Linked DNA regions of Drosophila melanogaster. The protein of the gene in region 2 interacts with the protein of the main gene of each other region in a pairwise test. Each region holds a gene or a part of one and is shown on either strand. Other genes may lie near its edges.

Region 1 (4,986 bases), on a different chromosome or scaffold from region 2:
CGAGTTCGACGATCGCTGATTCTTGCCTTATTTGCGCGGTTTAGTTCTCGGCCTATTTTTTTTTTTTCCAAAATTGCATCGAACACTCGCCCCACACATTAAAAAACTATAAAATCGAACTAGAAACCAAATTGGCATTGAAACATGCACACACATACCAGCATACAAACACACACGCTCCTTCTCTCACACCACCACACACGCATACACACTGTTTGAAGGCAAAACCGATCGAAACTACATCAGAACATCTTTAACTGTAGCAATTAAGTATTCTATTTGATCAACAAGAGTGGCATGGAATCAAGAACGCATTCTGCATACTAAAACTAAGACAGCAAAATGGCAAGAGTGAAACAGAGTAATTTGGCAAGTGGAAACGCATGGAATGGAACACACGCACATACCACACAACCACAACCACCCACACAATTCAAAATGGCCGGCGTCTGCAAAAAATATATATTTATCTAATGCATACGAAATAAAACTTCCCAAATTAGCTCATTGTTTTTGCACGCCCCACGAGAATTGTATGCTACCACAATCACTAATTTCCTGCGTTTTTCTCTCTTTCTTCCTCGCTTCCGTTTCGTTACCGCATTCCGCATCCGGCATCCGCAGTGGTTAACTGGAAGCTGTTTCCGTTCTAGTGAAAGTGTGAAAATGCAGCCGCATTGGGGGAACGTTTGGAACTGGCACGCAGACGTCACTGCCATCGAAATTGGAAGAAGTGTTTGCAGCTTAAAGTGTTTTTAGCTAGAATTTATTACTATTATACTCTGTACGAAACCCTATTGATTTGTTGTTAGTTCTAGCCGCAGCTAATTCTAATTTAAATGATTGCCTGTTTGCTGAGGGCAACGCAGCAGCCAGCAATGTTGTTATGTTCAGTACACGCATATATTATGTAATCTAATTTAATGCAAAATGCAAACAATTTTGTAAAATAGTACATATAATTCTGTAAAAACTTCATCTACACATGCACGCACTTTCGGCAGACAACCTAAATTATTTCTTGAGCCACAAATCAATCGAAAGGAAATTTAATAATAATCCCACTTTCCAATGTGATAAACATATATAATTTGTACACTCTACTTAACAAATATTTATCGTTTCCTGTTGGGAAAATGCTAGAAAGGTGGAGAATCGATAATATACTTACCTTGCCGCACTTTGCCTGCAGAAAACTCAAATTATTCACTTCATTATTGTAATAAACTTGTTAGAAGCCTAAATTCTAAAAAAAAAAAAAAATCCATCACTCTACGTTTACCTAGCCTAATGCTCTTTTCATGCAGCAACAAAATGTAATAGCTAAGTTTTAGTTGTAGTTAACTGAACATCGTATAATAGATGAAACTGTAAATTTATCACACACACAAAAGAAACAAAAGCTAAGTTAAACAATAAATATACAAAAAAAGATTTGAATGTACGAAATGGTGTATTTCTGTGCTTCTATGCGAACTGTCATACCAAAGTGCCTGAAAGTATGCTATTAAATGTGACCAAGTATTACAATTGAGTACAAAGAAGTCCACAAGTTAAAAGCATAGGTGATAAAATATATTTGCAGCAAGTACAGTTCCTAATCACTATCTTAGAAAGTGACACAGCGCATTACCAAAGTTCCAATCACCGAAAAGTAGAAAACCTATTCAATACGAATGAAGAATGAAGGTAGGGCAATCTCCTGGCAAGTCCAGCATGTGGCCGGAAATTAGCCTAAGGGGCCTTTGTGCCGGCGGGCATTAGGTAGCGATTATAGGTGGCCAGGTTCTTGACCAAGGCGGCCACGGATAGCATGCACACCATTCCGGCGGGCATCAGTTTTCCGGATCGGTTCCAGCGGGCGCCCATCAGCCCGGCCAGGAACAGGGAGGTGCCCAACTGGAGCAGGGGACGAGGCGTGTCCTGGGAGTTGAGGTGGGCGCCATAGCCGAGCAGGGCTCCGAAGGCCAGACCAGCACCCAGCGAGGGAATGGAACCTGGAATGCAGGGCGTTGCACAATCGGACATGACCACGGTCAGGGGGCTGGTCACTTACCCGCCTTGGCGTATCCCATGATTCCTCCGGCGGCGACCGTGGCTGCGTACACATATCCGAACCAATCCACCGGCATTTCGATTTATTTTGATTAAATTTCGGGGTAACCTTTGTTTTGGTGAGAAGTGGAGGTGTTAGTATGACCCTTCCTGCCTTAGTAGAAAGAAGATCCGCTCCGCAGTGCACGAAATTCAGACATCTGGCAGCACCGTTTCGCGGTCATTTTGAATTAAATATGTGCAACGAACTTCCTAATCAGAATATTTATTTCAATGTTTAGAACGCTTCTATTCGAAATATTCATTGCAATGTTTAGAAAGTTTGTTGGGCAAATATAAGTTAGTTTACTAATGTATGCATTACAAAAAGAGCGATGGTTCCTCTAATTTAAAAAGCCATTCAATACATTTATGTTTTTTTTAGATTTATTGCATTTCTGTCTGGAATTTTATTTCAAATTCGTAGCCAACATGTTCGTGAATTTTACAATAGACGACGGTGACGGTGTACACGGCGAACCACTCGCCCCTGACCACCACCTCCATTCTGATTACTCTGGTTGGCCTGACGCCTCTCGCGGCGGAGCTGACGCCTCAGCCGGCGCAGCCGACGCCTGAGCCTAATCACTTCCTGGCTGCTGCTGGATCCACTGTCACTGGGCGATGTGGGCGTAGCTGGTGATGTCGAGGAAGCGGGCGCATCAGGAGTAGCTGGCGAGGACGGTGTTCCAGTCGCTGGAGTTGGCGAGGTCGGTGTACCAGCAGCTGGGGATGCTGAAGGTGGTGTTCCAGTCGCTGGGGATGGTGAGGGCGGTGTTCCAGTCGCTGGAGGTGGCGAGGTTGGGGTTCCAGCCGGTGGAGATGACGCGGGTGGGGATCCTGCCGCAGGTGGAGAATCGGCGTAGGCAGTTGCTATTAGGGCCAAAAGCCCAAAGGCGATAACGAATTGGCAACGCATCTTCAGCTCAGTTTGTCACTAAATGGAGTACTGTGTGGATAGTGGTTTAAATCCGAGTATTTATAGGGATGATCCACTTGATTCGCTTTAATTGTCGAATCTGTGTTTGCTTTGAATGTTTTAGAGTACATTTTACGTTCTCGTCAAGACAAATAGATTAAACTCAATAAAAAGACGAGACTATCTTCTCTGTAAGCGCGAAAGCTGTTGATGGCTGTGGAAAGTTCTAATTCGTTAGTAATTAAACAAAACGGTTTTTTTTTGGATTGGCTGGCTGAACGTATTGTTAGCATGTGTGCAAACACGGTACATTGTTTATTAAATAGATGAATATGTATTGTTAAGCCTTTTGAACAGAAAGCCATATTTAAATAACCTCTAAGCTTAAATAAAGATTAAGATGGCATATTGTACATAAAGAATGAATTCTCACTAAAAGAAAACTTAGAACAAACTCCTATTTTTCACTTTCATTTGCAAGTTCCTAATCGATTAAGTTATCATCTGGAATTATGTCTGCACTTAGACCAGTTCCACTTGATCAACTAACTAGATCGGAAAATGATTTACTTAGGATTCTTCATTAGAGTATATAGTGTAGCCTTCTTCTTCTTTTCCAAGATGAAACCGAATATTGAATTTCTTTGTTTGACTAACAATTCGATCCAAATGATTTCACTTGTTTTTAAGGTGCCAAGTTACCAAGTCATAACTACGATTGTTGCTTTTGTGTATGCATTTATTTTTCAATTTGGACCATTTCATTGTTCGATCGGGTTAAGCCGATGGTTTATCCCCTACGTTGGCGCCTTCTTCCAGCACGACTCTGCTGGCGCCTTTCCTGCTGCCTCTCCCGGCGAATCTCCTGGCGCCTCTCCTGACGCCTCAGCCGCCGGAGCCTGCGAAGCCTGCGCCTCAGCCTGTCCACCTCCTCGCTGTCGGAGCTCGTGGAGGAGGAGGACGTGTCGCTGGACGTGGAGGGGGCCGTGGTTGTGGCAGTCGTCGATGAGGTGGAGGAAGTGGGCGAAGTGGAAGAAGAGCTGCTAGGAGTGGAGGACGAAGTAGACGTAGTGCTATTGCTGGACGGAGTTGAGGTGGAGGACGAAGAGCTGGGTGTCGAACTTGAGCTGGAAGTCGATGGAGTCGATGAATTGGAAGTGGGTGATGTGGAAGAGGACGAGTCGCTCGAGGATGAGTCGGTGCCACCATAAACGGTCGCCACGAGGACAACCAAACCAAAGGCCAGGACGAATTCGGGTCTCATCTTAAGCTCTGTCTGTTGAACACTGTACTCAAGTACTATACAGCATCCAGATCTGTGTCTGCTATTTATACGATCTATCTGGAGGGGTTTGGTCCAAAATCTCAATCTGTGCGTCGTCTTAGTTTGATCTTAACATGTGGCATTTGCGGCAGTGTTTTGTTGAACAAGGTGTGGAAAGTTCCTATGTTTGTCGAATCTACAACAGCAATGGAGCTTCTATTTGCGCAGTGTTATTTTTAGTGGATGTGCCAATACGGCTCAAGAAGAAAGTGCTTAACTTAGAGGATGTTTAATATAAGAACATTTAATATTAAGCAAATATTAAGTGCTCTATCACATTTATTGATGATTAAATCTTTCTTTGAATAATAATATGCTGCTTAAAAGAGAACACGAAGTGACTCTGCTTGCATTGTAGTATTCATTTTAGGAAAGCCAACTTGAAGGATTCTGGGTAGAATGGCCACTTTACCCTTCCTTATCTTACGAACTGATTGTTCCTATTGTATTTAGTTATTTTATTCAGAATAGTCCAATTACCTATTTTTGCTTAGTCACTTCTTAGTCAAAAACTATATTTGTCTAGTGCCTGTGCCGTAGATTGTTTCAGAAAATCAACAACTGCTTCAATGTTTAACTTCCCAACAATAACCTTTCCAGCTTTCCAGACGTTTTCAGCAAAACACTGGGCCACGTGCCAGATGCTAAG
Region 2 (5,607 bases):
CTTCAGCAAAATGCGACCCAAGGATCACCCTGATCTGCACTTCGACGTGATTCCCAAGCTCTACGATGCCCATTCCAAGGTGTTTCTAACCAGCTTGTGCGATGTGGATGAGCAGCTGAAACTATTGCCACGCCGATTCTGTCGGATGTACACCACTCGGCCACTGGCCACCCAGCTGTTTCAGTATCTGCAATCCCGCAAAGCGAACGTTTCGGAACAGGACTTCCTTGTGGTGGAGGAGGGCCAGCCCTTCGCACTGCTTCTGAAAGACGGAAAACGGTTGGAAGGGATGCTATGCTCTGGAAGTCATCTGGGACACAGCCTCATTCTGCTTATCCGGCGGCAGCAGGGTAACAGATTGCTGTACTGCTACTCGGCTATGAGGCTGGATAATCTTGGTCGTCTACTGGGCAACTCTGTCTTCAACTCTTGGATCGCCCAGGGAACCGAGCAGCTGTATCTGAATCTGTCCTCTGTAAATTTGCCGTTTGATCATATTGATTTTGATGAGATGGCACATTTCATCGAGGATCTCGGAGCAAGAAATGACCAGAGTATGGTGCACCTGAAAGTGCCAAAATTTGGCTACGAGGAAATGTTATGGAGATTGGCACACACAAGTCTTCGCGGGCATATTCATTTGGGCGACCACATTGCAAAAAGCTATGAGTGCCTTAGCATCGATCTGGAGCGTTTTCTGGAGGAAAATTATGTACCAAGGGTTTTCGTCAGCGGTTGCCCGACGGACTTTAATCACTATCAAAAGGTAGTTTCCTTGGATCTAAAGGAACTAAAGTGGACACCGACTCCGACCAGGATGCATCTTCGGCAGCTATGCAGCCTCTTGCGACCTCAACACATCCAGGGGATTGTTCAGTTTCATACGGATGGCATTGTGCCTCCCATTCCGTCATTCCTAAAGATCTTCAAGGCAAACTATTCACCGCAGAGTGGTGCAGTGGTCTCAAGGATTAGGAGTGAATTTCAAGCAGGACAGCCGAAGCAAGGACCCTATCACGCTTTCCGGTCCAGAAGGGCCTTTGAATTTGTGAACGATGGCGACGAAAGCAGTAGTTCGAATTAGGTTAAAGTATCTCCCTATTAGAATAAGCAAGTCGTGTAGCTGTTGTTCCGCACAGTGCCCCTAGGAGTTTTATTTATCCAAACGCTTCACAATATATAAAAATAAATTATTTGAATTGTCTTGAATTAATTTTTTTGATCAGTAAGTGTATCTTCGTCGGACCAGGAATCGGCAAGTCGCTCAAAAGCATCAATGTCTATTTCCTCCTTTACTTTAAAGGCTTTAAGATCATCAGCCGCATTCTGGGATTCCTTGGTAATATCACAGCCGAGTGAGAGATCCATCCCTTCTGGTTGCTTTTCAATTAGCTTTATGGTGTCCTCGTTGCACTCTTTTAAGGATTCCATGTCCAATGCATTCTGGGTTTCGGTCGAAGCGTTTACTTTGGTAATTTGATATTGTTTATTAAATTTAGGAAGTTGTACAATATTTGATGAACGTCTATTCATCTCACACATTTTGGGAATTGTGAAGAGTAGAAACAGCCCTGATATTTGAATGAATTTTGTTATTTTCTTTCATTATTTATTAATGATAGACTTACCTAATTGGCCAACAATTAGAAAGTTAATCTGCTTTCCAAGTTTGCTAATTATTAGGAGAAGGCCAAACCACTTGAATGATTTCGAAAAGCTCTTTACTAGTAATATCTCTCGTAGATTATTTAGAAACGCAACAACTTTGGTTGAAACTAGAACACCCAGTTGCTTAGATAACTCCTGGGAGATTCTTAGGTCTATGTCAAGATATTTCGGATAGCTGTTGTTCTGGATATGGGTATTAGTGTACTGTACCAAAAAACGGTACCCCATTGATATGACCATGATAATCAAAGCCCATACGCTCACCACGAACACAAGCGGTTCAGAAAGCAGATCATAAATTATGGTCTGTAGCATTACGAATACAAGCATCGACTTTATCCAGTTGCGCCACAGGATCAGCTCAGTTATTCCCTCCCAGATGCAGATGAGTTTAGCTTCGTTTACCTCCGCACCGGCTCCAGAAACTTGAACAGAGTTCGCGCTTGTGGCCATATTTTTTTTTTTTTTGAGTTTTTAAGACCTTTAGTACTGAGAAGATATACAAATTACAAAAACTTGGATACGATTGCAACGACAGTAAACTATTCGAATACTAGATTATATTTGTTTTCTATACCCATCACGCGTAGAGTACTAGATTTGTTGAAAGGTTTACCTTTCAGATGGATTCTTTATATTCTTGATCAGGATTGATGGGCTAGTCTATATGTATGTACAATATATACTTATGGCTGTGTCAGTCTGTCCGTCCGTATAAACGTCGAGAGTCTGTGAACTATTAAAGCTGAAAAGTTTAAATTAAGCATGCAGCTTGTTTCACATCCACACATTATTAAATTATAATGTGGAAATTATTGAAATTACCACCACTAACTGAGTAGCTGCCAGTTGAGGAGCTCGTATATAAATATATATATTTATATACATCTATATGCTATATAATACGAGATGCATGTCAAGTACCACCGATACAAGAAAGATCCCAACATTTAACCGCCAAAAGCACCTGTTGCCAATTCGTGTCATCTGTTTAAAAATATCCTTTTACATGAATTATGCAAATTATTCATAAATTGCTTTGTCTTTGCTTGGGGTTGTAAATGGGTTTTCGCAGATACATAATTTGATTGAGTTTGAGCTATCCTTTCTATCGCAAGATATTTAACTTCATATTCTATTTCTGTAATCGGTGATAATAAATTCATTTTAGCTTCTGCTTTTGTACCTATTTCTCTAACCATAGGCAATTTATGTTTTTGAAAATTAAGAATTACTGGTCGTATATTTTCTACTTGATCCCTTACTTGAACGATTGTTAAGTCAAACAGAACGCTTTTCAAGATCTCTTTGTCACAGCTTCGTTCGCGTTTGATCCGCACCGTCAACAAGGTCTTTTATTCCAATTCTTGGAGCATCCTGGGCAAATAATTTTGGCACGAGGTGTGACCAACGCCCATTGAGGGTGTGGTTAATGACACTCAGCCTTCTGTCTGCCAAGTCAATCGCTTGCCAATTGATTTGTCAAAGGCATTACGCTAATATTTTGGGCAAATACGGGAAAAAGTCACTGGCGTCAAAATGACATCGAGTGGTTTAACTTTCCACCCTCAAGATTCAGAAAATAAATGACTTTTGGGGAGGGTAGAGAAAAGAATACTAAAATCGGAATAATTTAAATCAATCGTTCAAAAGCTTTTGATCGCTCGCAATTGCTAAAGGGTCCACTTAATAACAGTAGTATATGTTATATATAAAAAACTTTAAAAGAAAATAGTAGATTCAACAAAATATGATGAATATAAAATGAAAACCTTTCAGTTTGTCGTAAAACAAATATTTCCAATATATTAATCCTGTTTAACAGTCCAACTATTCCCATTTGTAATAGACATTTGTTCATCACCCATTTGAGATTACTTGAGAAATCCTCGTAATTTCTGCCGTCTTCATTTAGAATTACTGGAATTAATATGCAAACAGCAAAATCGATGTATTTGCACATGTATGAATGCAGTTTAATTAAACCAAATTCCCCCATAATGCTCACATCACAAGCTGTACAGGATATTAGAATGTTTGACAAGTTGTCAATGCATCAAGATGCAGAGGACAAGGCAGAAAATTGGCCAGAAAATCTTATCGTTCATTTTGAATGTAAATTAAAACAAATACACATAAAATTACTTAAAACTGCATTGAGTTTCTTTGGCTCCTGTCACAAAATGATGGCCATTTCCATGCAAATGCCTAAAATGTAAAAGGTCGCTAGGGCACGGCACTTTATTTACTTTATATACTTTATTTTTAGATTTTTTAAATATATAAATATTATAGCCAACATATTTATCACACCGTTTTGTGCTCTTTTTATAAGATTCTCCAATTGTTTTTTTAAAAGGTCAAGAAAGGGGAATAGTAAATTGGTTCACAGATGTGACCAGACCAGATTTCTTAGGGTAGTGTCATAAGGGACATAAGACAAGGTCAACGTCTAAAAACCACCTGAAAATCTCAGCAAATATTCTTCTTTCGGCCCGATAAAGTTGTCATACGAGTTCGGCTCCTTCGACGCATTCCCTTCGACTTCTTTATGGCCAGGCGACAATGTCAGGAATTTCTTGTATTAAAATCGAAATGGCCAAGGGCCAGAAATCCATCCCAGACATAGACAATCGTATCTCTGTGAGATGGGGGCCAGTGAATATTTGGGCTTGCCCCTGAGTTCCGGCCGTGTCCTTACAGCTGTCAACATGTTTAATTGAAACTGACACTCAGTGTCATTTTATGTACATTGCTATGCGTTGCCGTTACCTTAACTGTAACTGTAATTCGACTTGGCCAAATCCAGCTCCATTATTGCGGAACATTTCGAGAGGGGGTTGTTGGCCCCCCGAATCTGCCCGTTTCGGGGGTCACATCGCATTGCAATGTAAGTTGCTTCCATTGTGGTGTATTAGTTAAATTTATATCCTTGGACTTCTCTCTCGACTATTTTAGCTAAAAAGCAAGTCCTCTTTAATTTGAATAATGTTAAAAATAAATCACATTTTGCAGTAGAGTGTTTTTTCTCTGTAATTTAAGCACTAACACCTTTCTATTTCATATTTTTCGTTATTTATTCAAGCGATTTTTACAAGCTGATACCTAATTTTCTTTTTTGCATTTTTTGTCAATTTAATACGGTCTTTATGTTCTTCGTACTGGCAGTTCTGAGTGCTGACTTGATATCTCCTTACGAAAACCCCCATATCATCCATACTCAGCGGAATCAGAAGAACTTTAGCCCCTGCAACACTTCAGCAATAATAACCCCCCGAACTCATCCAAACTGTAATTATTATTGCTAAGCTCGTGAAACGGAGAAGCGAGCCCTCATTTAATTGCAGACTAGCAAATACTCAAGATATTTTTATGCAGGCAATTCGTATTTTTTCCGTTCGGAGCTTTTCCGCCATTTCGATAGGGGAAAAGACAGCGGCCTCTTTTGTTTTCGTCACGGGCGAGTGGCGAAAAGCAATCAGGACAGCTCCTTGCCAGGAAAAGCAGCAGGCAGGAATATCTTTCGCCGCATTTCTTTATTTTCGTTTTTGTTTGTGCATTTTTGCAGGATGTCTTTTGTGTTATTGGTGAAATTAGAATTTCTCATTAAAATAAGTGTTGGCCGAGGGAGCCGCTTGACTTGAGACATTCAAGCGTCTCCCAGTTCAAGGTGCTCGTCCATGGCAATGGACTTAAGTCCGAATTCCCATTTCCCCCCTCGTTTTTCCTTTTTTTCTTCTTTTGTTTATGCATGGTCACTCATTAGTTGAGCTTGAAATCTGGCTGACAGAGTCTGGCATTTATATTTGTATCTTTATTTGTACTCCACTGAGAGTGGGGTATATTTTCAGCCCTAATGGCTTTTCTATCCAATTGTGTACGATTCCCTGCGAGTAATTAAAATGGCAACTCTTTAACATTTCACATTTAAATGTTTTG
Region 3 (10,013 bases), on a different chromosome or scaffold from region 2:
CACTGAAACTTTCGAACTCGAAATTTGGGCAGTCACACCGTAATGATATTTCTGTCTTTATGGTTTTTAGATCAATTTTTCGGTTTTTTCAAAATTTATTCAGATCAGTAAAATACAGTATTATGGGGGACTGCGCAGATGCAAAATTAGTTAGTCGAGTTACGGTGCCACCAATACCGAAACTTGGCGACATGCACATGTATTGGGTGTGGCGAATGCTGATTAAATCATATTTGGATGCTATAGGTCTTTGGTCTGGAAATCACCCAAAGGAGGTAATATATATACTGTTAATAAATATGGTGGTTAAATCTGCACAATTCGTTATTTTAAGAGCGCCCATACAAAATTTGTGCTGCTGAGCACGTTGGAAATATGGGTTGTAAGAAGGGAATACGATGAAATGAGCAGCAGGTCCATTTTCGAAGATCTCGAGGAACGATATGCTATCACTAACAATGACAAACGAGGTCAGTTGGCAATGGATAGATTTATTTAAAATCAATAAGATTTGTTTTTATTAGACTCTATGTACAACTTTTGATTGCTGCCTGGATTACTACTGTAGTGTAATAAATCTCAAACTTCAATATATAATTATATATATTTATAAATTTGGTGAAAATTGTCGATCTCGGACGGTTGGATATTATATTCATTTAAAATTTGTCATGGTAAGCATGCATAAAATTGTACAAAACACATCACACTAGCTTAAATCTACTTTCAATGAAATTATATTTTAAATATCAACCGAAGTCCCGGGAAATATACCAGCTGTGCTCATTTTGAGCACACCAGTGCTGCCCATCGATTACCACGCGTTAGTGCCTGTGCGCATCTAACGCGTTAGTGTCTTCCAACTTTTGACACATCGTTCAATAAAAACAAATCAACTTCGAATGCTCGAAAAGCAGCAGGAATATTTAATATAACGCTAAACAACTTAAATTTACTACTCTCAAAAGTAGAAGTGTATCAAAATTGTAGCTATTTTCAGTCGAGAACCAAGAAGGAGCCTTAAAAATGACACGTAAGTAAGGGCATCATGAAGCCATTTTGTTAATACTGCACAATGTATTAAATGTGCATGTAGATCCACATACATATGTATATCTATCTATTCGTCTAAATAACAAATTAACTAGGATTACCTCCAGTGTCATGCAAAATCGTAATCTCCAAAATATGATAAGAGAATTAGAATTTCGACCCGAAAGTAATCCTGGGTTTTCGCGTATAGAGCAGGCAAAAATCGATGGACAAGCAGAGGACATGTGAACGCCTCTAACCTCTCATAGATTATGTAGATCACATTTAGCACGCGCCACTAACCAGCTGCCACGTATTAACCAATTATAATATCACCAATTTAATAGGCGGCAACCAACGAGACCTGGCCCGCCAGAAGAACCAGAAGAAGCAGGCGGATTTGACCAAGGGAAAGCGAACCGATAACCTCACCGTGGAGCAAAGGAAGGCCAGGTGAGTGATTTACATTTTCAATGTATAATGTATAAGATATAATATTATTAATAAACCAACCCATAACGCAGGGACGCTGAGTTAATGCGGGAGAAGCAGAAAAAAAAGGAAGAGGCCGCTGCGGCGGGCACAAGCAAATAGTCAACCCACTGGCTTGATAGAGATCTGGACTCCCGGTTGCATTTCCGGACAGGTTAGGCTTATAGTCAGTCGTTCGTCAGCCAAGACCCCGATTCGCCCAAGGACCTAGGATAGTTGGTTAGAATGTACATGAAGCAACATACATAATTCACGAGAATTGTATACAACTACGCATAGATATTACCGGGCTGTACAGCACGCGACATAGCAATAGCAATAGCAAGTGCCACCCAAGGACTTCGATTCTGTTCCGGTTTTTGTTCATTTTCGTTTGCAGTGCTGCTGTACGATAATTAAGTAATCTTACATTTTATTTCTCCACCTACCTGACTAAATTATTTACTGTAATGTATATATATAAATTTTCAAATAAAACATAATATGCAGCCGACAGAAAGACTCAATTATGTGTTATTGTGTTTGACGAAAATATATATATAGATTATGGCACTCGATAACGGTCGATTGCTACCGAAAATTAACTTTAACTAATGAATCCCTTTTCTAGCAAATATGGTCGCCGAAGAGAGAGATATAAAGATTGATAATCCCAGAGCAATCCCCATAAGTATAGCTCAAGAATGTTAAATATAAGCCTTAGATCTTTAAAATCGGAGTATGAATAGGGCGCTGGATACGACCTACTAAACTTCCTGGTCTGATTTAAGCATGACCTAATGAGGTATTTAATTTGCCTCGAGTCATGCTGAAATTTGCATACAATGGAATATGGATATTTGTAAATGGCACGATTTGATAAATATGAAAGTAGCTGCATGCCAAAGCTTGCCCCACAAAACTATCGCCTAGATGCCAATAAGTCGATTGCTAGCATTTACCTTTTACAGAATAAATGACCAAAAACCTGGCCACTAACGACTGGCAGATGCACACAAAAAACATGCTGCTAAATAAAATTTCAGTTTTAGTTTAATTTTATTTTATTTATGTATAAGAAAAGATATCAAGAAACAACAACGAATTTTGCGCAAGACTGGTAAACTAAGTCATTGAAACTTAAATACTGTGACTTTTATCTTTTGGAATACCTATCTGTTTTCGAATAGATCTTCATACATTGTGCCACAGTGCACGGTCTTATTCATGGCCAATAAAGGCAGATGGGGTCATGGCGTGCTGATGTATCTTCGGCTGAAATCTCGAGTTCCTTCAACGAGGAAAACAACACGGATGTAATGAGAACGTCCACTGATTTGTTTGACTTGGCTAGTGCAATGCGCTGTAGAAGATCGCCTCACCATTGTTTGACCAAGTGCTTGATATCTTCATGCCGGAACAGCAGAGCAACGTGGGCCATCGAAACGCCTAACTGGTTTCTGCTGTTTCTGCCTCGGAGAAAGCTTCTTGCCGGTCACGCAAAAGCTGTCTTAACTAAAAACAGCGTCCAAGTTTTGAGAACTTTTCAGCCAGCTAGCCGAGAACGAGCGGAAAAATCAACTAACGCTCGCAGATGTGAAAAATCGCGATCGCGAGTCGGCTCTCACGTTGGCGGCAGCAGCCCGCGTTTTCAGTCGCTCCGTGAAACCCGTCGCACTCACATCGAAATCGCGCGCAAGTCGTCGGATCCAAATCGCCTCGAAACGCTACGCACTTGGAGGAGGCAAATATCAAATATATGAGAATAATTAGTTAGGAGGCAGCCGAATCAGCGGAATCAAATCGATTTCCCTCGACTGCATTTAGCAGTGCTGCACCATCAAATCAAAAATAAATTAGAAAGTGTAAGTGAATATATGGCTGGCTGCCAGGAGACTGACATTATCAGCGGAGAAATGCAGGCAGTTGGCAGCCGATTGGGCGGATCGGGAGATCAATCGATCGCCGTCGCATGCAAATCGAGTGATAAACGATCGCCTCGAAATTGAAATAACAGGCGAGCAGCTGGCCCCCGGAGGTGGATACATATGCATATGTGTGATCAAACAGAAGTGTTTCTCGGGGAAGGGCGGCGTGAGGAGTGGGAGGAGTAGGTAGCCCCCAGTAGCCATATACTCATATACCTATCTATACTATACAGCCAGTTACCCGACTTGAGGCGCGCTCGTCTGCCTTGCGGTTGTATGTGCTTATTTATACAAAATATATTCAATTTCATTAAGCTGTCGCTGCTGGCTGGCCGTCCAGTAATTTCAATATTCAAATGATCGCTGATAGCTAAACCCCCTGACTTTTTTACTTTTCTGAGCGCCCGCAAAAGCTGCGGTAAAATTGAGAAAACCGCAGCGTATAAATAATTGGAAAACAATAATGCCACTGTTTGATCGCTGACCCAAATTGGCAGAGAAAATGAATGCATCTTAATGAAAACAGAGTCAGTCTGTTTGCTGCAGGCATAGCGATCTATATAGTCGATGCACTCGGTGATGTCAGAATTGCGAACTGACATTGAAAGTCTGCGAACGGCGACAACCTGAAAGCCTTCTTCTTTGCCTTTTTGGGGACCTCAAGTTGAACACGTTGCGAGTTTAGGGATAAGTGGGCCATCCAGCCCAGTGTTCAGGTGTGCGGGGGCGTATACGTAATATGCGCGCCTGGCATACATTTCAACTGAGCCACATTTTGGCTATTCGCCTCAGTCGCGAACCATAAAAATCACATCAAAGCCCCAAATGAAAGCGTCGTTCATTGAATCTTAAGTGGCCACTCCTCCTGGGAAGTAATTATAAAGGGAAATAAACGGTCTTCAAGACAAAACTGTTTCTAATCCATCCACATTTGGCAAAGTTCAGTGACGCGCATCCACTTGGAAGCAGTGAAAAATGAACAATGTGAAGGTTACTCAATTTACAAGGCAACAGATAACGCCACCAAATTTTATTTGACAAAAAATATTCTGGCAGAACAAGCCAAGGCGTTCGCACACCTACGCCATACGAGATGGCACATGGGCGTAGAATTCTCGACGAACAGGTGTTGAAAATCATAAGGTGGAGTCCCATTCCTGACCCCAGACAGCCACTGATCAGAGATTGTGAGAGCTGTTCCAAAAGTTCCACCGCTTTTGTCGACTCTCTAGATTTCTAGTTGCTCGCGACCTTGTGATCTATTAATAAGTGTTTCGTGTTTTTATATATGAATCATTTTGATGGGCGATCTGTTTATGAGTTAACTTTCGTTTGGCTGGGAAAACGAAAAGCCCAAAATCCGAAAGATCCCCGAAAATTGAGTTTTTGATCGCGTCCAATGTCGCGGCTTCATTGACCCTGAAAACTATGTAGTGTCGACAGAACGAAAAGTATCTCATGGATGCGCGCACATTTGTATCTTGCGTCTAAAAGACGCCGCTGCCACTAGTAATTACAAAATCTTGTTCGGCAAACGGAAACTTCAAAGGCTGCAATTGAGTTTGCAGCTGCAACGGTTTTAATTGATTTATATGGCAAGTCGAGTAATGTTTAAAAAGCCGCGGAAAAAAGCCAATTTGACAAAAAATCAAAGACAAAAAGTCAAGTGGGAGCTGGAATAGCAGAAATAAAAAAAACAAAAAAAAAACAAAAATGCGGCGTGCTTTGGACCTGTCAAATTTGGTAGAACGATTTCTACCGGTTTCAAATGGACCTAAATAAATGAAAAAAAAAAACAGACCCGGCCACTCAAGTGAGCTCCCACTTTCTGTCGAAGATTGTAGATTGAGCAATTTCCAGCCACATACAAAATGACTTTGTCTTTTCGATAACTTTTGTGCCTGGCGCAAAAAGTAGCGCAGAAAAATGTCAAACTTAATTACGCGTTGAAGCGCAAACTAATTGCCGAGTGGATTTGCGGGCTTCAGCGGGCAGCAGGGTCACAAAAGTTCGAATGGCGATAAAGTCGACAACAGCCAAAGCCGAGAATAATTGGCTTTGGCTCCGTTTTGCGGCCCACGACAACAGATAATAGCCGCACACAAAAAAGTATCTGTCAGATATACATATTTAAAAGCTGGACACGTGCTCATTGCACACGAAAATTAGCATTTACTTGTGGATCGAACCCATTTTCCACAAGCATAAAGGCAATGGCAATTGAAATGATTTATATGAGCATTATTTCACTTCGCTTTACTAGACAAATGGGTCAGCTTATGGTTAATGGGATACGATAAATGATTACTTGTGTTTTTATAATTTGAATTTTATTGTAAATACTTGTAGTTAAAATAATTTGTATTATAAATTTTTATTGAAAGTTATTATCTCATATAAAGTAATAACAATAATTACAATATGACTACGTTCTGAGACCATTCTACTATTTCGTGGTCTGACCCACAAATTTTGCAGCCTGCGGTAAATGTTTTTTGTTTTCCTTTTCTTGGCTTGCATTTTCTAAAGCCACTTTCTAAAATAAATATAAAATATTGATGTATTCCATGAAAAACGTCAAAAATTCATGCTTGAGTAAGTGCATTCCCAATGCCTTTTAATTTGTTTGTCGACAAACTTTACCTTTCACAAAACCGGCAGCATCCGCCACACTTTTACTCCCACACCATCACACTTCAGACCCAAAGCAACTCCATCCAGCTACGTAGTGCACGTCCAACTGCCCAGTTGCACTTGTCAAGTCAGAAGACTTTCCAAGACTCCAAGCCTACGTCAAGTGGAGGCACGAATTCCTCGGAAAGAGTCGCCCACGCCATGGCTTGAACTTGACTCCAAAAGCTGCGAGTCACGCCTATATATACATATAGTAAAACCACTTTGTGTGAGGCGAGCGGAAGTCAACGTCAGCATTAGATGAGTTCATTGCGAATATTAACGCCATTAAACGAATGAGTGGGCTGATCGCTTCCATATCGAGGTTGTCTACCCCTTTCCACTGATATGGAGAAGTCTCTAATTGTTCGCCGAGGTCTAAAGTATCTTAGCTTTACTTGGGTTTGTTCTTCTAACCAGGTCAAAACAGCGATATCGCATTGCCGCAGAAAGTAACCCAAGACGTTTGTCTGAGTTGTAGAAACCAGACAAATGCTTTCTGCTCGGATCTGTATCCAATTGAGGTACCATTTATAAACAGACGCAAACGTGGAGATCGTCTGAGTTAAAAACCCGTGCGAAACGCGTGTAAACGGCATGTTAATGCGCCATATGTCCGGTTTATGAGCCCCGCCGCCAGTTTGTGACGAAACTATAAAAAAAAGTTTTTGAACTGCTATAATTTAAAGAATGTGATGTGATCTTCGGCACGCACCCTCACCGCCGCCCCTGATAATTGCGCAATTTGTATAACACTTCTGTTGCCCAGATTGTTCGCATCTCTTCACTGTGTTGTTGTAGGTCGTTTGAGGTGTGAAACTCAGCGGAAATGGGCTTTACATACAAATGGTATCTGTAAATGTATCTGTATCTGTTCGCTAAACTTTAGTTGTTTGCCCAAGGCATTTCCCAGCCAGCCTTTCTATAATGACTCAAAGCGTTTCCATGTAAGACAAGATATTTTGGCATGTGATTATCTCATCCAAGACCGCCGTGAGCCACATGTATACATCAGATATATCACATGGATACACAAGTGCCCGCATCCAATGGATGCAAACCAGCTGCAGCGGCATTTGCAAGTGCCAACATGCGCCACATCAATCTGCAGCCGGTCCGAGGCACGTTGAGCGTTTGATTAATTTAATGACAATGCCCGGTGGCGCTATTTCGCTATCTGGATAGATGGGTGCAACCCACATATGTATACTCGTACCAGTTCCGCCGATCGTGTGCGCATGCACCGATGATATAAACTTTCCCAAGCTCGCCATCTCTACTGCCATTCCAGCTCGAATCCCTGAAGGAATAGTACGATTAAATTAGTCATTCGTGTCGTTGATTTATTTTAGAGCTTCCATAAATATAAAGCTTACGTCTTTCAAGTATTTCACGCTTTCTGTCCATTGTTTTCTTTGTTTCTTCTATTTTTAAAGCACATTTGTTTAATAAACATTTATTTTTTTTGTGTGCTTGACGTCACAACTGGTAAAACTGTGGAATTTTAATGTTGTAGTATTGGTTGTCTTTACTTTTGCAATAGTTCGGATATTTCAATTAAGTTACAAAACATATCTTTGTCTAGTTTTACATGAGTATATCGAGAACTTACTCACTATTCTATTGCTGTGTTTTTATTCTTTTAAGTTATATGTGTTCAAAATGGTACTTGAAATTGATGATTGTGTTTCTTAATATTTTCAGCTGGTAATCACAATATAGATTTGCCAAAATGCCGAAGCCACTGTTAAATTCGTGCTGTCTGTGCCAATCGACCCGGAATGGCTCCGTTATCTCGGGCATACTGGCGATAGTCCTGTCGATCATCACCATCGTGGTGATCTTCACGACGCGGGTGCACTTCAAGACGATAATCTTTGACTTCATCCCCAATGACATTGTTAAGATAATTCTAGTCATCAATTTGTGCATGACGATCTTGATATCGCTGCTCATGATCATTGGTGCCCTGAAGGTGTGTACTCAGCTAATTTAATTAAATGCATACAATAAAAATCTATCTATGTTCCAGCGGAACCACTACCTGATGGTTCCATGGGTGGTCCTCGGCATTATGATTGCCATCGGTCTGCTGATCTCCGTCATCTACACGGGCATCGTCTTCTTCATCGACGGCTACGTGCTGACGGGAGTCCTCTGGCTGATCTTCGGCCTAATTGTCTGCGGTAAGTGCACTCCCTCTTGGTTGGTGAAAAATGGGTGAGGGGGGGGGGGGGGTCTTGCTACTTCTCCATGTGCGGTTTTTAGCACCGGATGACGGTTATTGCGAGCCGTTTTTAATTTATAGACGCATTTATCATGCCATGATTGCCCGTGTGCTGAAAACAGAAGTGCCCCGGCGCCGCAGACTAGAGGATTTTGGAGGTAACTTGCCGGGTGGTGCAAGCAAATGAGGCGCAAAGTGGCTTGTTGAGGCCATTTGTAGAAATGTCAGCTGCAGAACTTTGATAGGAGTTTATTGGGAAAGCTATACGATTGTTAAATAAGCTCATTAAATGAATCAAACAAATTTAATTGTATTAATTCAGCGGTATAAAAGTTAAAGAACCGAATCACATTGTGAATGCTTCAGGTTTATACATATATTCCTCGCTTTTTTTTTACTTTTGAAAAATGATATTTTTCAAGTTTTACAAATTTGCATATTAAATTTGATAAAAATTAAGTGCTTACCGAAAATGAACCACATACGAGTTAAAAGTCAATTTACATTACATCGTGTAAAATCGGATGCAATTCATGTAGAATATAAAATGACAGCACTCTTTTGCGCGCACATGCCCTAACCCAATGTTCCTCCTCCATCTTTCAGCGATTATGACCTATTGCTGGTGCGTGGTCTATAGTGAATACGCCAACCTGTCCGAGGAGAACGAGCGCGGTCGTTACAACAAGCAGCCGTACCGTCGCTAGAATCTCCAGGAGCACTATTCATCAGAAATTGCATTCAAGAAGCTGAATCCACCACCCACACATCTTCATCCTAGCTTCCTATGTTCGTTTTTAGTGATTATGTCTAACTAATAATTATAATTTAGTTGAGGCGAGCCAGCCCTTCGCTCACATCGAATTTACGCGGCCCGTGGCATTAAGTGCAATGGAATTATGTATTTAACATTTAAATAAAACTTTAATCCAGATATTATGTGAATTTCTGTTGTAATTTGTACGTAATACTTGTAATTGTGAAAGAGGAGTTCAAAAACCGAAAACTAATAACAAAAATAAAAACAAACTATTTATCAACCGTTTGAGAGGACGAGGTCTTGTGTGTTTGTTGTTTTTTATTTCAAAATATAGGTTTTATCTTTAGGCATATATAGTTATATTCAATTCTCTCAAAGTCTATCAAAATTGTAAATTAACTAAAAATATGGATGTGTAGGGGGCGTTTCATGTGGTTGTTGTTTTAGCTAAGTGGGCGTGTTCCATGTAACTACACAAGTAACTGACTGCGCTCTACAGCTCGCTGCGCGAGTACTTGGGCTTCAGCTCCTCGATACGCTTGATGAAGTCGCCCTTCTCCAGGCAACCGTCACAGCTCTCGTCCCAGTCGTTGAGGATTTTCTTCAGGTCGCGTACCTTCAGCTTCTTCAGGTCCACGCTGTTCAGATCGATTTGTTTCTCTGCAATGAACAATCCACATAAATAAATGTTTATAGAAGTATATTAAGGCGAAGAGCAGCGACAGAAAAGCTAAATGTTAAGCCAAGTTAAGAGTTTTTGTTTCTAATAGACACCCTAGATTAATTGACTCTTAGTAAATGACGATTAACGTTTTCTAATAATCTAAACCATTAACATTCATTTTACAAACAGACCTATCTCATAAAATGTAGAATTTTATGCGAGTTACCACAAAATAATTTAACAAGCTATGATATAATA
Region 4 (9,719 bases), on a different chromosome or scaffold from region 2:
CGCATGATGATGCAGTCTGGCCTGAAGAAGTCCGAGATGGTGTACAAGAACACAGCCCATTGCTGGCTGGTGATTGCCAAGCAGGAGGGCATTGGAGCCTTTTTCAAGGGCGCCCTATCGAACATAATTCGCGGCACGGGCGGTGCTCTGGTTCTCGCCCTTTACGACGAGATGAAGAAGTACTTTTAGCCCCAGTGTGCCGCCGTTTGTGGTGGGCCAATTCGATCGCCAGCAGCAGCAGCAGCAGCCCCGGCCACAGCAAATGTCACACCACGATGGCGTAGCACCAACCGAACACACTGTCCACCTCTTCGTCGAGGAGGACTTGCTCCCACGAGCCCAGTAGTAAATTAATAATTTGATTTGATAGGTCGCCCCACATGGTGGTCGGTCCCTCATTTCAGATTGTGTTCACTTTCGCAGTGGTTGAGAAAATACAAATAATATATTGAACTCAAATCTTTGTTGTGCGCTCTTTGTTTGTTTTCATCATCGCGTGTTTTTTGCTTTTTGGTGCATGTGTGTGTACGGATTAGGGTGGGCCACATCTAACTAGGATCTAATTATCCTCTCAACAAGCTAAGCTAGTCGTTATATTCAACTATATGTGAAGGACAAACAAAAAAAATTTAATTAATTTACGTATATTATTTTGTCTCGATTGAATACATTTCAAAAAAATTACAAAATCATTATATGTACGCCATGAAATGATAAAAGGTTATGTACTATATGGGCTGCCCACCCTACTCGTTTTCGTAGATATGGTCTTGTGCGGGTGGATTTAAGACTTAAACGTTAGTTAGCCATTTAAATAAAAATAACATTAAAAACAGAAAGCCATGTCGCTTTCCATTGTCAATCTGCTGCATACGTTAATTAACAACAAAAAACAAAAGTACAAAAAAAAGAGGCAAAATTACAAGTACTCGATCTGCACTTATTCTGTAAACAATTAGAAATAACTCTAGACTAAGATCCAGTCACTGAGTTGGCTGCACTTAGTGGGTAGCCCCGGACCTGTGGGCCAGGAACAGGAAGTACGTGCCCGCCGCGTAGGCCAGGAAATTGAAGAGTCCAAAGACACCGGCGGCGGTATTCGAACCGGAACCCTTGCCCGTGGCATCCGACCATCTGGCCAGCTGGACGATGAATCCGATGAAGTACAGCAGCGTCAGCACAGCGGTGGTGATCAGCTCCTGTTGGGCAAAACAAAGTAGCAGTTGGGTGGGTTAGTTCATACTAATGATCCAGAGCAGTTAGTTGCCATTTGTCACTCACCGAGAATATCCAGTTGACGGCCACGTTGAGGGCCTCGCGAATGCCCAGGAAATAGGCGGCGATCAGCAGAATGTTGATGATGAACGAGATGACGATGACGAACATGAAGAACGAGGTGGCCGAGGCCAGTGGAGGAGCTGCCAGGGCCATGCAGATGATGCCCAGCACCTGGTGTGTATAAAAAGATGGGTAAATGTGTAAGTGTACAAGGTCGCAGTAGAAGCAATAATATACGAGTAGTTTTAAGATTCAAGCGCCATCTGTCGCATTAAATCGTAATTGTGCAGTTTTATGCAATGTCTATTTAGGGTAAAGTTGAATGCATATTTGAGATGTATAGATTGCATAGCATCTTATATTATTAGTTGTAATACATATATGTATAGTCACCCAGATCGTGATCTTCCTCCAATTGAGAGGCGCCTCTTCAAGGTCGTGATTTCGAATCTGGAGTGAGCATGTCGTGATGTCACCTTCAATTGAATGCACGCCATGAAAAATTAGAGGCTGTGCTCAGAATGTCGCCTTGTTCTCCAGCTAATTAAGCGGTGAATTCAAAGAATGCCACTGCACAGATACATAGATACATATGTACATAGATACATATGTAGCTCAGATTTATTTGGAAATGTGCTTGTAGTAAAATGGCTCAGAAACAATTAGGTACTCCATTTTACTCAACTTAACTTAAGTTTATGTCATATTTCAAACAAACTGAGGTAACAGTATCCCGTATCTATGAATGACTCAGTATATATTACCAATAACTTGTTAATATATGTATACTGAACTATCTGTAAGTCATTTTCGAGAACCTTATCGCATTTCAAGCAAATTCGCAGGGCGATTTCGTGAGTTAGGAACACTAAGATCATAAAGCTGGATGACAGGTGCCGATGATGACACACATTCGTGGTTGTTTTAGGCAATTAAATGGCAATAAGCTTTTGGCGACACAGCAACAAAATAAGAAATCAAACAGGTGTGCGCAGTCAGTCGACTTGAGCATTGTGTTTTTGGCTAAAACAAAAGGTACACGAAAAGTGAAAGCTGAAAGTTGTAGCCCAGGCCAAAAGCGACCTGTTGATAGCAACATCTTGTTGTTGTCCCCTTTGTTTTTTTTTTTGTGTGTGTTTCTTATTTGCTATCTGGTAAACAATTAACTGCACAGCAGCCGCATATCAAAGGTTGATTGAACTGTCAGCGATTTGTTGAGATTTGTTGATCTTGGATCTTGGATTCATGCATTTTCCAAATGGTGTTCGTATTCTTCATTTGACTTATATACTTTTTTTTTTAGCCTCGCACTTGTGATCCACAAATGTTGTGCGTCACTTTTCAAAAATAAAAGAGCCAGAGAGAAATTCGTCTGGGAATTATACGAATTTTATCTTTTCTAAGCATAATTTATGGCGGGCTTTTTATTTTTATTTTTACTTCTGCGTATGCATACATAAGGTATATATAACGACAAGATTGGCATATATATACACATTTGTATGTGTTAATCAGTTCTTATGTGCACGGTTGGAAAGTTCTTATAACCATATACATATAACCATAATCTTTAGTTCCATGGCAACGATCAAATTGCCTTGTGGAGCATGAAAAACTGCGTAGAGAGTTGGGTGCATCTGGGTATATCGATCGGGGCAGCAACATAATTATTTACTTTTCGAGCGAAATTCAATGACGCGAAACGCCACTGAAATGGATCGAGTTCTTGGCCTCCGATTATACGGTCTACGGTTCCTAGCCGCGTCTGCCTCGTCTGAAGTTCAATGGAAGCCACAGAAATTCTAGTGGTCGCACATAAACAACAAGATCGTTAGATTACAAACTTCCAACTACATATGTATAAATAATGTTCTTTCTTCGAAAGCTTAAAGTTTAAACAATACCTGTAAGCTAATATCCTCGCAATGTTTAACAAATATTCCAATTGTGGTGGTACAAATATATATATAGTTCGAAGTTAATGGACAACCATAACTGGATTATCTAATAGAAGGATCAATGCCCTTGAATTGTATACATACATATGTATGCCCTCCCTTTTGTTGGCTAACAATCTGTTAACAGGGCCAAGACGGAGCTTCAAAGATGAGCTCACTTTCCTGAGCGCCGTACACTTAGTCAGCGTCAATTACCTAAAATGTACCCAAGCACACAGTTTGCAAACACACACGTATTTGCATAGCCATGTGCACTTAGTGCAGTCCGTTTCGCAGCTGTAAGGCAAGACGCTAACTGAAACTTATAACTGAAAAGGGATAAGATTTGAGGTTTCAGAAAAAGTGCGCCCATAAGATAGTAGCAATATACAATTTATATTTCCGATAGTTTAAGTTAACTGCTTTCGGCTACAAGCCAAACAGCCTACGTTTATGGCATGCACTGTACATGATGCCACAACGATCGATCGCATTTTCATCAACAAACCGCCAACAAACGCCAGCATCTGTCTAAAGTGACTTTCGGCTCGAATTCCCCAGATCTCTTCGCCTCCCCCGCATTTTTGTGGTTAACAATTTCTTGAATGACACCCCGTATTTGTGTCATAATTTCCGCTTTTGGCTAAAACATTCGTATTAAAATTAAAATCCACGACAATGCTACAATGCCAAACAATAAGAATGCCGTCGGCAGCTTCCAAAATACACGTCTTACGTAATTAGGCTATTATAAAAAAAATATTCTCGAACGGCAGGGACCGCGACCAACAAAACTTAATAATAAATCGTTCTCTTTCCGAATTTGCATATACTCGTAGATATTCCGATGTGTATGTACGTATATATGTATATAGAGCACACTTGGCCATGGAATGCATATATGCTTGGGGCATCGCGTGAATATGTATGGTAAGTAAATTGAGGCAATGCTGGGTCCAAAATGCTAATTGCCAACGATAAGATACGAAAGAAGCGTTATATTTCGGGGGCTTTGTTGTTGTTGTTGTTGTTGTTGGTATGATTTGGGACCACTGGGCGGATGAGTATGTGTAATGGTCCGTGGGCAAATTAACGATCGGCAGTCAGGTGTCAGGAATCGATTGGCTTATCAGCAGGAGCATGGCTACCGAAAATATCGTCGGTCTGCTCCTCTCCGCTCGCAAACAGGTGGTCGCCACATTATCGTCCACTTTGTTCGGATAACGGTGCGTATGAGTAACGAGCGATTAGCTATGGCACTCAATATATTCGCAGAATTGTTCGAAATGAGTCACAATCGGTGAAAACAGTCAAAACTGCAGTCAAATTCGAACTATAGTACCAATAATCTAATATAATTTAGTTAAGCTCAAGAAACAAAAGTCTTAAAATAGATAGCCATGAAAGTGGTCAAGTTTCCCGCCATTTGGCCCAATTTGAATTATTTATTTAACGGGCTTAATACCTATCAATTGGCATTTGGGAAACGAGCAGCTGCAATTACGGCCCTGTTTTTGTGGCAACTCTCAAGTGGAGCACTTTTACATATTTCACACTGCGCTGAGACGACTATCAGCAGACTATCGCTTAAGGGTACCGATAAGATTAGTTGCCACAAAAATATCCCAATCGACAGGCACACCGCTAACCGAAAAAGAAAATTAACTAGCCATTGGTGAAATCAAAGCATATTTGAATGACAAGTATTTGCTTTCCTTTTTTGGTCAGATTAGTATATGAATTGGAAATAAGTCCTACCAGAACATCCGCAAATTACTTCGTCAGCCGTCAGCTAAACTAGCTTAGTCGCCTGATAATAGCCGATTTTCAGAACAGAAAATCAATATATATAAGTTAATAAACGACAGCTTATTGTGACGGTAATCATATCATCGAAGCACCCAGCACTCCTCCCATTTATCCGCTATTGATTTTCTCCGTAACAACTGACGAGCGCTTAATAATGCATTTTTCATGTGGGTCCCAAGCACTTGTCGTTATCCCTTGACCTTGTGCCCACCAAGCGTTGGCCCATTGAGAATAGAGAAATTTTTGCCTGAAAACTTTCTACACCTGAGCAGGTGATCCATCCGAGCGGTAGTTGAGTTACCCCAGTGCCCACTCATATAATTGCGAGTACCTTGTGTTGGCGTCGCATACCGATTGCATCGCCCACACTTTAACTTCATTTTGCTGCGGATTTGTGGGAAAAAAGATAGATCATACATAGCTTCGAATACCAGGCCAAATGCGTTAAGTGTTTAACGTCTGTGGAATACAAGAAGAGGGCTATGAGTTGACCACATGGCCATGGAGCTCACATGTTTGCAGTTCCTACAACTTGTCTACCCCTATCTTATCCGTCGTAAGTCTAATGAGATCCTGACATATGTACACACAAAAGGGGCAAGTGCACAACACACTTGTTGTCGGGCATATTGTATACATATTTGTGTAATTGAGTACACATCGAGGCTCTAGGGTTTCTTAAGTCTCGAGATATCTCGATAAAGAATGGTGGCGGAAGGCAAACTCTAGATAAAACCGTTCAATTTATGACGATAAGAGTGCTATGAGGAATTCTAACTTTTCTCTACAACAATTATCCAACGTATATTTTAATATTTCCCTCTGAAACTTTATGTTTCGAAGGCTCTATCAGTTTCGAGGAAATACGATAACAGCCAAATTCGGAAACTTATGTCTGAATTTAGCATTCCACAAAATAATGTATGTACATTATGGTACTTTTTCAACATAATCGCATTCCTAAGTTCTATTTAAACCGACATTTATGCATATTTTAAATCTAAGAGTTTAGAAACATGTAATGTACATAATTTTGATATGTTTGGAAATTTGGCCCAGTTTTTGGTTTCAGTTTTTAAAAGACTTCTACTCAAGTGGATCGTATTCAATAGTTTCGAAATATCATATGTTGCAATATTAAGTATTAGATTTTCATTTGTTTTATAATGAATTATAAAAATATAGTAGTGATATATCTCAGCTAGTTGTATGTACTCACAAACTCCACAATTTTGATGATGCCCGGTATGGTGCGGAAATAGTCGATGTTGAGGCGAATGGCGCTCCAGAAGCCGCCACCGCTGCCAACGGTCGGGTTCGCTCCACCTGGCGGTCCGTTCGTCGTTGTTGTTGTTGTGCGCTCGATATTGACAACGGTCTCGACCATATTGTTGCTGTTTATAGTTTGGCTTGGCTTAGTTTCAGTTTCAGTTTCAGTTTCAGTTTGGCGGGCAAGTTTACTTTATTAGCTGGGCACAACAACTATTTTTAAACACTTGTCGCGATTTTTGTCACAATAAAATAAGATGAGAAAAATAACCACCGCTTTCTATATGTTCGCTGGTCGATCGGCAGCTACCCTATATATCTATATCTGATGTATATGAACGCGTGTGACGCCCTCGCGCGAGTTACCACCCCACCCCCTAAACCCCCACGCCTCTAATTCTCAAATATATATATAGAGATATATGCCGCGTGTGGTGGGTATATTTGGGTATGTGGTGAAATGTGTGTAGTTTAGTATCTGGTAGTTAACTGTAGCTATATATCCATGAGCTGCGCTGCGATTGCTTTGGCGTTACGTTGCTTTGTCCACGGCGGCCGCTGGTCGACTGAACTGAACTGCGAGCTGAACTTGCCGCCGCTGCAGGCTAACGGTTAACCGCACGCCGCTCCGCTCCACACTAGCGCACTCACGCTCGCTCTCCCACTCCCACTCGGACTTACACTCACATTCGCGCTCTCCCAGTTAGTTAGTTAGTCAGTTGGCTATTTAGTTGCGCGCGCCCTTTGACGACGCCCCTGCAACGCCCTAAATAGAACCACCCCCCACCCCCCTTAGTTGCCACTCCCCGCTGCTTGTGGGGCAAACTAGTTTGTTGCGCCTGCGCCGCTAACTGTTATAATCGGCACAGTGGGCCAGATTGACCGTATTGTGTGATTGTGTTCATTCCAAAATAAAAGTAAAACTATTAAATAAATACAGTTGTCTAGATTTCTCAATAAAACATTTACATTTTATTAAAACCATCCGTACAAAATATGCAATATATATTATTAAATCATGTAGACAACGCGGCGTATGAGTAATATTTTCTTTTTTTTTTAGTTTTCTTCAAGAACCCACAAATTCCCGTTTGGCTAGCACTGCATTTCGCCATCTCTTTCTGATTCGCTCGCTGGATCGGCGTCCCTCTCTCTCTTCCCAACGCCCACTGTGCGTCGCAACTGGTTTAACGTTCTGATTCGACTTTTATGGCTGCCGCTGCAGCACGGCCGTGGGTCGCCTCTGATCGGAATTTCAAAACAGTGGAGCGTGTTGTGGATGTTGGGGCAACAGTGGGTGGCATGTGTGGTGCACAGTGGTCACACACGGCACAATTCGTGGTTGAAATGTGTGAGGGACTTTAAAAATTTTATAAGAAACCGATTGGTTTGCAAGTGAAACAATAAGCGGTGTTTTCATTTTTTTGGTTAGCTTTTATTTGCGTGCAATACAAACTATGACAAAATTTGCCTAATAAATAGAGCCTAATTTTTGGGCCGCTCGATGAGCCTAAAGACTACGAGTTGCGGATCAAATGGATTGATTTGGACAAGGACATGGACCGGACATAAGGCTAGACAGTACAGATTTATACTATGCGATCGGATATCGTATACAATTTTGGTTCAGCTGCTCGGAAATCGCATTCGAGTTCGCGTTAAACATGTGTGTGTGTGTGTGGTGTGTGTGTGTGGTGTGTGTGTGGGTGGGTGTGTGTGTGCATAGAATTCAGTTATATTGCTTATATAAATAACTCTGCTGCCTTGCAAACATAAGGAATTATTTTTGGATCACAATAAAATTATAAAAACATATATCTATATATATATATATGTATATACATATAGTATATAACGAAGGTAATAACGCAAAACCAATATGCAATGCACAGGTTTTGGAACCACCAAGCATTGGGGCACTGGGAAGGACTAGATAACAAGAGCAGCACGGTCTGCAAAATATAACTAAGCGCGGAGACTAACAGCTAACAGACCACAGGAGTATTTCAAGTACAAAACATTATCGGCCGCAGCGGCGATCAGCTCAGAGCGTCTCCCTGGTGTCAAGCTCAACCAATGGCGGCACTGGCTCCAACTCCGCACTCTGGCTTCTGCTCCTACTTAGGCTGGGACTGGGGTTGCTCCTTGAACTTGGACTGGTGTGGTGGCTTGCGTCTGCACTGATATTACTTGGCTGATTTTGTTCATGGTTGTTATGCGGCGACGAGGTTGCCGGGGTCAGAGGAGCCGGAAGTGCTGGCGTGCCGGGCGGGGAGAGTGCTGGCGGAGTGAGTGGGGCAACGGCCACTTCCCTTGTCTGTGGCGGCCAGTGGATGGACCTTAAAACGCTTTGGCTGCTGCTGGAGGAAGTGGAGGGACTTTCAGCATGGCCTGAAGCCAACGAGGATCCCGAGGTAGAGGCAATATTGTCATCGTCAGTCTTGGCCGTCTTCTTCTCCTTCTCCCTCTTCTCGCGCTCCTTCTCCATGTCGGCTATCTTCTTTAAGTAGTTTTTGTCCTGGGTCGGACATTCGAGGTGGACGCAGTGGAAGATCTAAGAGCAAGGAGAGCATTAGCTTATCGGACATGTTTTGTGGCGCTGCACTGCTACGTACCTCATTCGCTGTGTTGCGTGTGCCCACAATGCGGATATAGACCACTGGACGCGGAGTAAAGTGAAAGTTCTGCCAGGAGCGGGTCCTGTCGTTGCGGCGGTCCACGACCATTTGCCATTCCTTGCGGTTCGTCGAAATTTCGATGTAGAAGCTGTAGGTGCGATCATCGCAGTCCCACAGCAACAGCCTCATTGAGCCCAAATAGTAGGGTTGGCCCAAACGGACGACGATCTCGCCGCTGCCCAATTGGTGGCAAGTATATCCCGAGTCCCAGTCGTAGCGCACATAATCGCCGTTGATAAGCGCGTTGCGGGTGCGACTCACGCCGTCCGTCACAATGGCGCTCATCTCTACGGTGGCCACGTTCGTCTTGGGCGCCACAAAATGGTTAACTAAACGCGGCACCTTGGCCGTGTGCATGGCTTCCAGACCCACAACATGGAATACCTATATATTAATGGAAAGGGAAAAAGTTAAAGAATGGGGAAAGTTTGAAGAGATCACTGCTGACTTACCCGGTTTACAGTGTTCTGGGTGCCCACCAGTCGAATGAATCTGACGGGTCGTGCTTCGAAGTATAAGTATTGCCAGGAGCGGCAGTGGTAGTCGCTGTAGTCGACCACGCGATCCCAATGCTGCTGGTCGCCGGACACCTCAACGTAGTAGGAGTACGCCCGGCTGTCTCTGTCCCAGAGCAGCATGCGAATGTGATTGATCATGCAGAACGTGCCCAATTCGACCACAATGCCCGCATCTTTGCTGTCCGTAATGCAGTGGCGCGTATACCCGTTCTCCATGTCATAGGTGGTCA

What was found.
Region 1: the proteins of CG42853 (region 2) and CG5532 interact in a two-hybrid assay, tested with the Drosophila melanogaster proteins (one large-scale study listed by BioGRID).
Region 3: the proteins of CG42853 (region 2) and CG10311 interact in a two-hybrid assay, tested with the Drosophila melanogaster proteins (one large-scale study listed by BioGRID).
Region 4: the proteins of CG42853 (region 2) and CG15211 interact in a two-hybrid assay, tested with the Drosophila melanogaster proteins (one large-scale study listed by BioGRID).

What each region holds. Positions count from the first base shown.
Region 1 is NT_033778.4:23,749,976-23,754,961, reverse strand, and holds CG5532 (uncharacterized protein), read right to left. Parts: upstream 2,209-4,986; 5' UTR 2,133-2,208; coding exon 2,057-2,132; intron 1,998-2,056; coding exon 1,735-1,997; 3' UTR 1,447-1,734; downstream 1-1,446. Other genes in the region: CG11300 (uncharacterized protein), read right to left, coding at 2,540-3,013; CG12491 (uncharacterized protein), read right to left, coding at 3,804-4,277.
Region 2 is NT_037436.4:18,119,807-18,125,413, forward strand, and holds CG42853 (uncharacterized protein), read right to left. Parts: upstream 2,184-5,607; 5' UTR 2,122-2,183; coding exon 1,629-2,121; intron 1,572-1,628; coding exon 1,210-1,571; 3' UTR 1,126-1,209; downstream 1-1,125. Other genes in the region: CG7341 (uncharacterized protein), read left to right, coding at 11-1,084.
Region 3 is NT_033777.3:16,350,155-16,360,167, reverse strand, and holds CG10311 (uncharacterized protein), read left to right. Parts: upstream 1-3,152; 5' UTR 3,153-3,368; intron 3,369-7,808; 5' UTR 7,809-7,836; coding exon 7,837-8,079; intron 8,080-8,136; coding exon 8,137-8,290; intron 8,291-8,937; coding exon 8,938-9,038; 3' UTR 9,039-9,382; downstream 9,383-10,013. Other genes in the region: CG42446 (uncharacterized protein), read left to right, coding at 60-275, 335-470, 525-544; CG17931 (uncharacterized protein), read left to right, coding at 1,027-1,033, 1,380-1,485, 1,557-1,626; Manf (mesencephalic astrocyte-derived neurotrophic factor), read right to left, coding at 9,585-9,751.
Region 4 is NC_004354.4:10,769,691-10,779,409, reverse strand, and holds CG15211 (uncharacterized protein), read right to left. Parts: upstream 6,870-9,719; 5' UTR 6,784-6,869; intron 6,643-6,783; exon of another isoform or gene 6,613-6,642; 5' UTR 6,412-6,612; coding exon 6,244-6,411; intron 1,450-6,243; coding exon 1,282-1,449; intron 1,200-1,281; coding exon 1,002-1,199; 3' UTR 429-1,001; downstream 1-428. Other genes in the region: Ant2 (adenine nucleotide translocase 2), read left to right, coding at 1-189; BTBD9 (BTB (POZ) domain containing 9), read right to left, coding at 8,338-8,847, 8,909-9,355, 9,424-9,719.